Linked DNA regions of Neurospora crassa OR74A. The protein of the gene in region 2 purifies or fractionates together with the protein of the main gene of each other region. This does not show direct contact. Links are inferred from orthologs where the notes say so. Each region holds a gene or a part of one and is shown on either strand. Other genes may lie near its edges.

What was found.
Region 1: the proteins of NCU04378 (region 2) and NCU10155 purify together in Saccharomyces cerevisiae (affinity purification with western blotting; 6 studies listed by BioGRID, with this or other methods). This does not show direct contact. The link is inferred for Neurospora crassa OR74A from reciprocal best matches to the Saccharomyces cerevisiae genes CDC45 and DPB2.

What each region holds. Positions count from the first base shown.
Region 1 is NC_026505.1:1,592,032-1,596,603, forward strand, and holds the start of NCU10155 (DNA polymerase epsilon subunit B), read left to right. Parts: upstream 1-1,678; 5' UTR 1,679-1,811; coding exon 1,812-2,590; intron 2,591-2,649; coding exon 2,650-4,426; 3' UTR 4,427-4,572. Other genes in the region: NCU04588 (hypothetical protein), read right to left, coding at 572-653, 727-1,226, 1,344-1,430. UniProt on the Saccharomyces cerevisiae protein: As accessory component of the DNA polymerase epsilon complex participates in chromosomal DNA replication.
Region 2 is NC_026504.1:3,567,871-3,572,436, reverse strand, and holds the start of NCU04378 (DNA replication initiation factor Cdc45), read left to right. Parts: upstream 1-1,604; 5' UTR 1,605-1,962; coding exon 1,963-2,730; intron 2,731-2,782; coding exon 2,783-4,566. UniProt on the Saccharomyces cerevisiae protein: Required for initiation of chromosomal DNA replication. Acts at the origin of replication. Also has a role in minichromosome maintenance.

The DNA.
Region 1 (4,572 bases), on a different chromosome or scaffold from region 2:
GAATCAAGGTTATAGGCAAGATGAAATCCCCTCAATAAACACATACGACCATACCCACTGGAAAACTCGGGATCCCGTCCGCTCTCCCATAGATAAGCCAGTGAGGGCCAGACTAGTAGTTGGGTCGGTGACGACCAGCGAATCCCTGGTGTTGTATGTTTTTTTTCTTTTCTTTTTTTTTTCTCCCTCTCTATTCTCATCTTTATCCTGTTCACTTTCACTTTGAATCACGTTCTTCTTTTGGTTCTTTCTTCTCTCTCGGATCTTGTATCCCACCTCAGGCAGTAGTCGAGCTTCCACTTACATATACAAAACGGATCAGTCAGCGTTGAAATGCTTCGTCGCTCACATCCTTTCAGTCCTTCACTGTTTGATTAGGACATATGTCAGATCTCCCAGTAAATTGTTTGAAAATTTAGGACATTACTCATTGACGAATCGAACCCCAAGACGTACGTCTCCCCTTTATTTTGGACAACAGCATGAAGTGTAGCGACACATCAAACGGACCGCTCACCTATTGTACATCCGCTCTCACCACCCACATCCTTCAAACCCCAAACATCTCCTCTCAAGCTTTCTGCTTCTCTTTCGCCTCCTCCTCCTTGAACCTCGCAACCAACCTCTCCATCAAAAACGGACTTAGTCCCAAGCTGTAACCAATCCCAACAGTTAGCAACCACGTCAACCCACCTCACCTCACCTCACCAAAGTAAAAATACTCACATGCCCTGATTCGTAACAACCCGATAAGTCCCACTCCCCTGGAACGTCCCCTCGATCATCTTTCCCTGCCCATCCACCTCCACGCTCCCAAAGATATCCTCGGGCCACGCAATCCTTCCGAAATCCACTGGCGTCCTCTCATCACTCAAGTGCACCCATCCTCCCCTGCCCGCGCCTCCCGCGCCTCCCTCCGCTGACGCCCCGCCGGCGCCCGTGTCGCTGCCCTTTTTGCCTACCTTTCTCGAGCCAGGACGAGGAAGGAAGGAGAAACCGGCTGGGGAAGCAAAGGCTTGGGCTTGTGATTGAAGACCGGGGTCGGAGTAGGCGTGTTCGGCGAGGACGGAGTTGAGGATGGAAAGAAAGTGGGGGTTGGTGGTGAAGGACTGGGGAGTTGGGGGTAGGGCGGTGGTGGTGCCGATGGAGAGGGTGGGTGGGGGAGGGGTCGTGGGGAGGAGGGAGAGGATGTAGCTTTTTGGGTCGTTTGGGTGGGGAAAGACTTTCTGTGGTGATGGGTGTTAGTATGGTGTTTGAGTTGTTGTGTGGTGATGTGGTGAGGATGGGGGTTGTGGTGTAAGTGCGGGTGGGGTTGTTGGTGGAGAGGTGGATGGATGACTTGCAATGTTTGGGTTGGACGGCAAGGTCGTGAATGACCTGACTGCGCTTCGTAGCGTAGGAACTACACGAAATCTTGTAGTAAGCATCATGACTGGCTGTATTGAATCTGATATCGAGAATGAAAAGGTTGGTGATGGCGTCAAAAGTTAGTTGATGTCACTCTGGTGCTGTTCGTGCGTCTACTTGTAGCGTAGGTACCTGCTGTAGGTACCTCTCTAGCGCTGCCGGCGGCAACCAGGGTAGGTGGCCCTTGATGCCCCTGTTTCTGACATTGTGGAGCCCGTATTGGCTGAAATCTGGGGTGAGCCCCACTAGAACGCGTCTGGTCCCCTGCTTCGTTTCTCAATTTACGCGTCTTCCAGACAGTGACAATGACGGATATCACCACCACGAACAGACTGGTAGACGGCCAATTGTAACCGACTATACTAAATTGCAAGTTTAGTCGAGCTATCCAGACCACAGACACAATGATCGTTCAAAGTCCCCGCCAAAAGCGGACGAAAACCGGCCAGACAAACGCCCAAGACAGACCATCTCGACCGCAGCCACAAGCAGCAGCCGCCGCCGGCTTCTTTGCGCCCAAGACCCCAGCGGGCCCATCCAACCCGATACCCTCGTCCTCGCCCGCCTTCGCTACTCCAGTACATCCACTGAAGCCGTTCCAACCCCCAGTCCTCACAAAAGCCGCAATCCTGCCCATCATCCTTCCGCCGGCGACACTACGACCGCTCGCCTTCCGAACGTTTACCAAGAAACACAGCCTAACACTTACATCAACTGCCCTACAAGAGCTCGCAACCTTTATCGGTAGACACTGTGGCTCAGGATGGAGGGAAGAAGGCCTGGCCGAAAAGGTGCTAGAAGAGGTAGCAAGGAGTTGGAAGAACCGCAATGGCGGCGTCATCGTGGAAGGCAACAGCCCCGAGCTCAAGGACATTCTCAAGACCCTCGAGGGAAACATGAGCGGAGGAAAGATCCTGACCGGGCCACGAAGCTTGAGCAGACAAAACAGTCTCTTGCTAGAGCCCGACCAAGACGAACAACATGCGCATAGTCGACTCGGACTTCGGCCCGTGCCATCATTAACCCGGGAGGACAGCAACGCCAGCTTTGGCATGTCTGGGTTGGAGTTCACAGAAGAGCCGGAAGACGATTCGGTGAGAGATGTTAGGAGGTGGCTGAAGGTTATACATGCTTTCGATCAACCACGGTTGATGTATAATGTTGGAAAGAAGCATTTTGAGAGGTATGGTCCCTTATTATTTATTACCCTCTTTACATAGGTTACACAGCTAACCTTTGTAGGGATCCTTCCAAACCCTCCCTACTACCAGCCGCCTCTCACAAAACCGATGCCTTCCGCAACCGCTACAACGTTATTCATCAGCGCATCCTTCGCAACGAAGCCTTTCAATCCTCCTCCGTCCAAGGCTCCAGCTTGCGCCAACGAACCAACGCCAACGGCCTCTCCTCCCACAAGATTACCCCAATCGCCAACCTGCTCGGCCGCCATGGCAGCAACCACATGCTGCTGGGCATGCTTGTTGTCCTTCCCACTGGCTCTCTTGCCATCAGCGACCTGACGGGCACCATTACTCTCGACCTCTCTCACGCTGTCGCCATCCCTGAAGATTCTGCCTGGTTTACGCCGGGAATGATTGTTCTCATCGACGGCGTCTACGAAGAGGAGGAGGAAACCATGACCATGGGCAACGGTCTCAGTGGTAGCAGCGGTGTGGGCGGTACCATCGGCGGCCGGTTCCAAGGTTTCTTCATCGGCCAGCCACCATGCGAAAAGCGCCGCGTTACGCTCGGGGTTAGTGGGCCCGACGGCACCGGCGCTGATCATACCATTGGCGGCGGATTCGGCTGGATCGACTTCCTGGGCGTAGGTAGCGAGAGGGCAGTCGGGTCCAAAATGCGCAAGTTGGAGCACAGAATTCTTCGGCAACCAGCGCTGTTGGAGGATGGCAGGCCGTCGAGGGGTAGGGCAGTGATTATTGGCGAACTAAACCTAGATCAGCCGAGGAGTTTGCAGGCACTGAGAAAAATCTTGGGTCTCTATGCTAGTGATCCTGAAGGGTGTACACCCATGACGTTTGTGCTGGCGGGTAACTTCACGCAGCATGCTGTCATGGCGAGGGGCGGGAGTGGGGGGAGTATTGAGTACAAGGAGTTTTTCGATGCGTTGGCATCGACACTGGCGGATTTCCCTAGTCTGCTCACGACGGCTACCTTTGTTTTTGTGCCAGGTGACAACGACGGGTGGGTGTCTGCCTTCTCAGGTGGTGCGGCAACTCCTTTGCCGAGGAAACCCGTCCCAGATCTGTTTACTTCCCGCATCAGGAGGGTATTCGCAGCAGCGAATGCTGAAGCCGGGCTAGCCAACCCTGGCAAAGAAACAGAAAAGGATGCAGGCAAGAGGAGAGGCGGCGAAGCTGTCTGGACAACCAACCCAAGTAGGATAACCCTTTTCGGGCCTAGTCACGAAATGGTTCTTTTCCGAGATGACATCTCCGCCCGGTTACGACGAGCTTCTGTCCGTCTTAAGAACACGAGCAAAGCCTCCGTCGAGCCGGAACCCCCAACCAATGGTAACGACGACTCGGCAATGGATAACCAATGTCCACCCTCCTCCCTCCCCGACGCCCCCGATGCTGACGACGAAGACATGGCCGACACAACCATGACCGACGCCATGGATGTCGATTCTGCCCCTGCCCCTAACCAAAAGACTACCATGCCTCCTCCATCTTCCATACCCTACGACGTCCTCGCCGCCCGCAAGCTAGTGAAAACCATTCTCGACCAAGGCTATCTCGCTCCTTTCCGGCAAGCTATCCGCCCGGTACATTGGGACTATACTTCCGCCATGTACCTCTACCCGCTGCCGACGGCCATGGTACTGGTGGATACTACCGCTCCGCCGTTTTGCGTGACGTATGAGGGGTGCCACGTGATGAATCCGGGGAGCATATTAGTGCCGGGGAGGAAGGGGGCGGCACGGTGGGTTGAGTATGAGTTACCGGGAGTGGGAGGGACGGGGACGGGTGGAGGGAGGGTTAGGGAGTGTACATTCTGAGTTTTGCACATTTCGAGTGAAATGTTTGATTGTCTGGAGAAAAATCTGCCTTGAGCTTATTACGAGGCTGTGCTGGGAGATCTTGCTCTTGAATCGGTCTTGGGGCTGGGACTATTGGCTCTGTAAAGCTGATCGGGGAAAAGGGT
Region 2 (4,566 bases):
ACATGGTGGTGAGCCCATGGCCTCATGGGTACTCGGCCCCATCGTTTCCCCTCGCATCAAACAGCAGCTTGCCGATCTATGGGTATACGCTGCAATTTGTTACCGCGTCCAAAAGTAGCGTATATCTGGCAAGGTCTGGCTGGCTACCTGCCCAAGTCCCCGGGTCGCTTCCATGCTTGACTCTAGTGTACACTACTACACGGTAGACGCACCCCAGGGCAACTTACAAACCACAAGTGTTTTGAGAAGCGTGTCGATCACCTCGTTGCTGGGCCCAACCATCAGTCAGTTCCTCTGAACAGCCTCCTTCCTGCTTTGGTCAGTGAAGGCAGAGGAGCGGTCAGGTTGACCGTAGAAAAGCGTGGGCCGCAAGAGTGGCCGCCGTCGTGGCTGGCTTGGCAGGCCGGCTGGCTACTGTAGTAGCACGGATGGAGTGAAATTGAGACTGTCGCCGACGAGACGGGGCGTGGTGTGGGTGTCGTGGTGGATGGCCAGTGTTGTGAGTGGTGTCTGGTGTGCGGCAGTTGTTGTGTTGTGATCCAAGCAATGATGGAAATGTGGATTGACAAAAGAGGGACCAAACTAAACAGAGGAAGAGAAGCGAAGATGGAAGCTGGATTATAGGTCGAATCGGAAATCCGGAGACGCTGATCCGGAATCCAGGATTGGAAAGCACATCGTTAGATGGTCCCTTCCTGTGCTAGGTATTGTACTTCAATCCGCACTCTGCAATTTCGGAATAGTTCATCATCCCCGGTCCGTTCCTTCACCGCGGACCTTTCTGTGGGACATCGATGCCTGTCTGGACACCTACCTATGCTATGGTAGGAGATGGAGTGGAAAGAGCACAGCTGGTCACCCAGGTTGATAAATTAGTTCAGTTCCAGCTGTTGGGCAGCCCCACGGTGACAGTGTTCTCAGATGATTCCACGGCAACTAAAGAGTTCACTAAAATCCAGGGACATCGGCCGGCAGAAATTCTCGTGAAATTCCACGTTCGACCAGGTGGACAAGTTGCAGAAGTGGAAGCTTCTATCGCATTGCTGTCGTGCAGGAACCTTACTGGCCGTTGTTCCGTTGTCCTCTGGGCAGGCATTTGCCGGGCTATGATGTACCTACCTGGTTTACCTTATTACCTACCTACTTACTGTACCAATGCCCGTGCTTCGGTCGAGGGATGGCCGCCCCGGGGTGCCCCTGTGGCCTTGGCTGTCAGCAGCTGCCCTGGGCAATTCCACTTCGCGTTGTACCCCGCCATTTCTTGATATACTACTGTACGCAGTAGGTAGGTAGGTACTTTACCCAGCTCTACAATAGGTACCTCCCGTCTTGCCTGCCCAAAACCCAAAGCCCCACTACAAGTACGTAGAGGTACCTCTAGGTACAAGCAAACTGGTCGCTCCGGCCGCGTCCTTTCACTGCACGCTTTGTGCTGACGCCCCCCCTGCAGTCCACTGCAGTGGTTGATATCTAAGTAATGCACGCTGTGCCCGCCCTGGCACAAAACCACTTTCACAGAGTCGCGTCTCGAAGCGCGTCCGAAGCGCAGCGCTGGTTGGCCGCCCTTCCATGTCAATTAAAGGATCCTGGCCAACATCAACAAAGGAACACTCCTATCAACACCATCATCCCTCGCCCGAATTATTGTCGACCGCGACAACACTATCCGACTGACGTGCATCGCCATCACACCAGTATTTTTTTGCCATCGTATATTTCAAGCTACATAGTCCAGAGCAGAAAGCTCTTAACGCGGGGCAGGCCGCGTCGCGCATCCCCCGTCGGTTTTTTTTCTGCCCAGTGAACAGAGTTCGAAGTTAGTTACCTCGAGTAAACTACAACTGAAGTGTTCCACGCCGGCGAATATCCCACGACGACGTCGCCTCGCCGCCCCGCCTCGACAATCCGTCCCCAGCCGATTTCCCTCGCTGATCCACCCTCGATACCGATTCTCCCTTCGCAATGTATCTCCCTCGACAGCTTATATCAAAACTCTACCTCCACTTGCAAAATACCCGCCATCCACTATCGCCGCCCGTCCTCATCTTGGTCGCTCTCGAAACCGATGCGCTATGTGCCTGCCGTATCCTAACCCAACTTCTCAAACATGACTATATTCCGCACAAGATCCAGCCAGTCGCTGGCTACTCCGACCTCGAACGTGCCGGCACTGAGCTCGTCAGCCCCATGATGGAGACCCGTGGTGGTGCTGGAGGAGTCGTCGTATGCTTGGGAGTGGGTGGTATGGTTGACCTCGGCACAGTTTTGGGACTTGAGCCCGAGGGCGAAGAAAATACCTTTGGGGGTGTAGAGGTGTGGGTGATCGACTCCCATCGCCCGTGGAACTTGGGCAACGTTTTCGGCGGCTTTCCCCTCGAACCAGAGACGCAAGAGGCCAGGACATTCTCTGCGCGAACCCCCATTGGTGTCAATGGCGGCCGGATAGAGCGAGCATACAAACCAGGCAAAGGCGGCATCATTGTCATGGATGACGGCGACATTGAAGATGAGCTCTCCAAGGAACGAGATGCGTATCTGGCGCTAGTGGATATGCCCGAAATCGAAGATGATGGCCGAGACTTGGGCGACAGTGATGAAGACGAAAGCGAGAACGAGGAAGACACGGGCGATACATCGGTTGTTGCAGGCAGAAAGAGGAAATCATGGTCGGACTTCGACGAGGACGATGATGAAGACGACCGACCCAGACAGCGACGAAGAAGCAATTCGGTGAGTACATTCCGATTTCTTCATAGTAATACATCTCTCATGCCAGATACAGTCGAGTCCAATTCCAGATTCGCCTCGACGACCGCAACACCGTGGTCTCATATCTCTACGCGACGATGCCCTATTTTCCAGTGACGCGCTGGAAGCTCCGCCTGCTGCACAACCACCCAGAGGCCCTTCAGCCAACACCCTCCGACGGAGATTGCTACGACTACGACGAGAAAACGAGGGAGTTTTGCGCGAGTACTACCGACTGGGTACATCATATTCGGAGCCCATCTCGTCCATGATGTACTCCCTTGCGTCAGAACTGGGTCGTGAAGACAACGACCTGCTATGGTTAGCGATCGTTGGGGTCACGTCGATGGAGCTGTACGGCCGCTCATCTGCCGGTATTGCGGTAGCAGCTCGCAGGTCAGACGCCCGCATTTCCGGTTGGCTCGGCATGCGTGGTGCGAGAATACGGCAGCTTCTGCGAGACGAGGTCAGACGTCTCAACCCACCAGAGATAGGAAACGGCCGGGTGCTCCCCGAGACGACAGGAATTATCCCAACAACCGCTCGAAGTCCGGAGGATACCAGTATCAGGTTGTCGCCGGAGCCCAAGTTCCTGCTTATTAGGCACTGGAGTTTATACGACAGCATGCTTCACTCACCCTACCTCTTCTCTCGGCTAAAGACGTGGAGCGAGGCTGGCATGAAGCGATTACACAAGCTTCTCGCCAAGATGGGTGTCAGTCTGGTGCAGTGCAAGCAGAGTTATGCCCACATGGACATGATGTTGAAGCGCGAACTTCGCACCAAACTACTAAAATACGCGTCTCTCTACAACCTCGACGAACTTGTCCCGACCATAGACACGGACGGGAAAGATCGTGGAGGTGCCAAAGATGGATGGGGCTTTGTACGCAGTTGGGGTTGGAGGGCAACCCTGAGTGCGCAAGATGTCGGTGTCGTAGTCGGAGCCCTGTTGGAAGTGGGGAAGAACACCACTAGTGCTGATGACCTTCCTGCTGGCCCATCTCAGGATCTTCTCGACGTAGACAACAACCAGAGCCAAAGTGAGGAGTGGATCCCCAGGTTCTGGGAGGCGTATGATGCGCTGGAGGACATCGAGGCCCTTAAGGCTGGCCTTCCCACGGCGCAGTATCTACACAAGGCCATCTTCACCACTGGCACGACAATTTTGAAGAAGAAACAAATATCTCATCTGCGCGCATTTCGCATGTGCGTGGTCAAGGACTCACCAGATGCGACACTCTTCAACCACCCCGGCGCTTTGACCAAGCTAGCGCTCTGGATCGGTGAAGCACTCGCGGAACAGGAAAAAGAAGCCACTGGCGGGAGGCTCGCCCATGGCGGTCGTGGCACACCTCTCGTAGTGGCTAGTCTAGATGACAAGCGCGGAGTGTATGTTGTCGTCGGTACTGGTGGCGGCGGTGGGCCAGACACAAAGTTTCTCGATCGTGAATCGGCCAAGAAGCGAGCCGAAGAAAAAGAGGCCAAAGCTAAAGCCAAGGAGATGCAGAGAAGGATCAAGGAAAAGATCAAGGCCGAGAAGAAGGAGGCCAAGAGAAAGGAAAAAGAAGAGAAAAAGAAAGCCAAGTCCGACGCCGGCGGCGATGAGGACGAGGAGGAGGACAACGAGGAAGATAGTGACGACGACTCGGATCTCTCTGATACGGACTCGGACGACGATGATGAGTCGGACGAAGACGAGGACGAGCTCGATCAGGAACTTGAAAGGGGCTACGGCCTCAACAAATTCGGAACAGCGTTCCAAGACGTGGTGGCGGAGACTAATGCCAGAGTGCGCATCGACAGCTTTGAGCACTG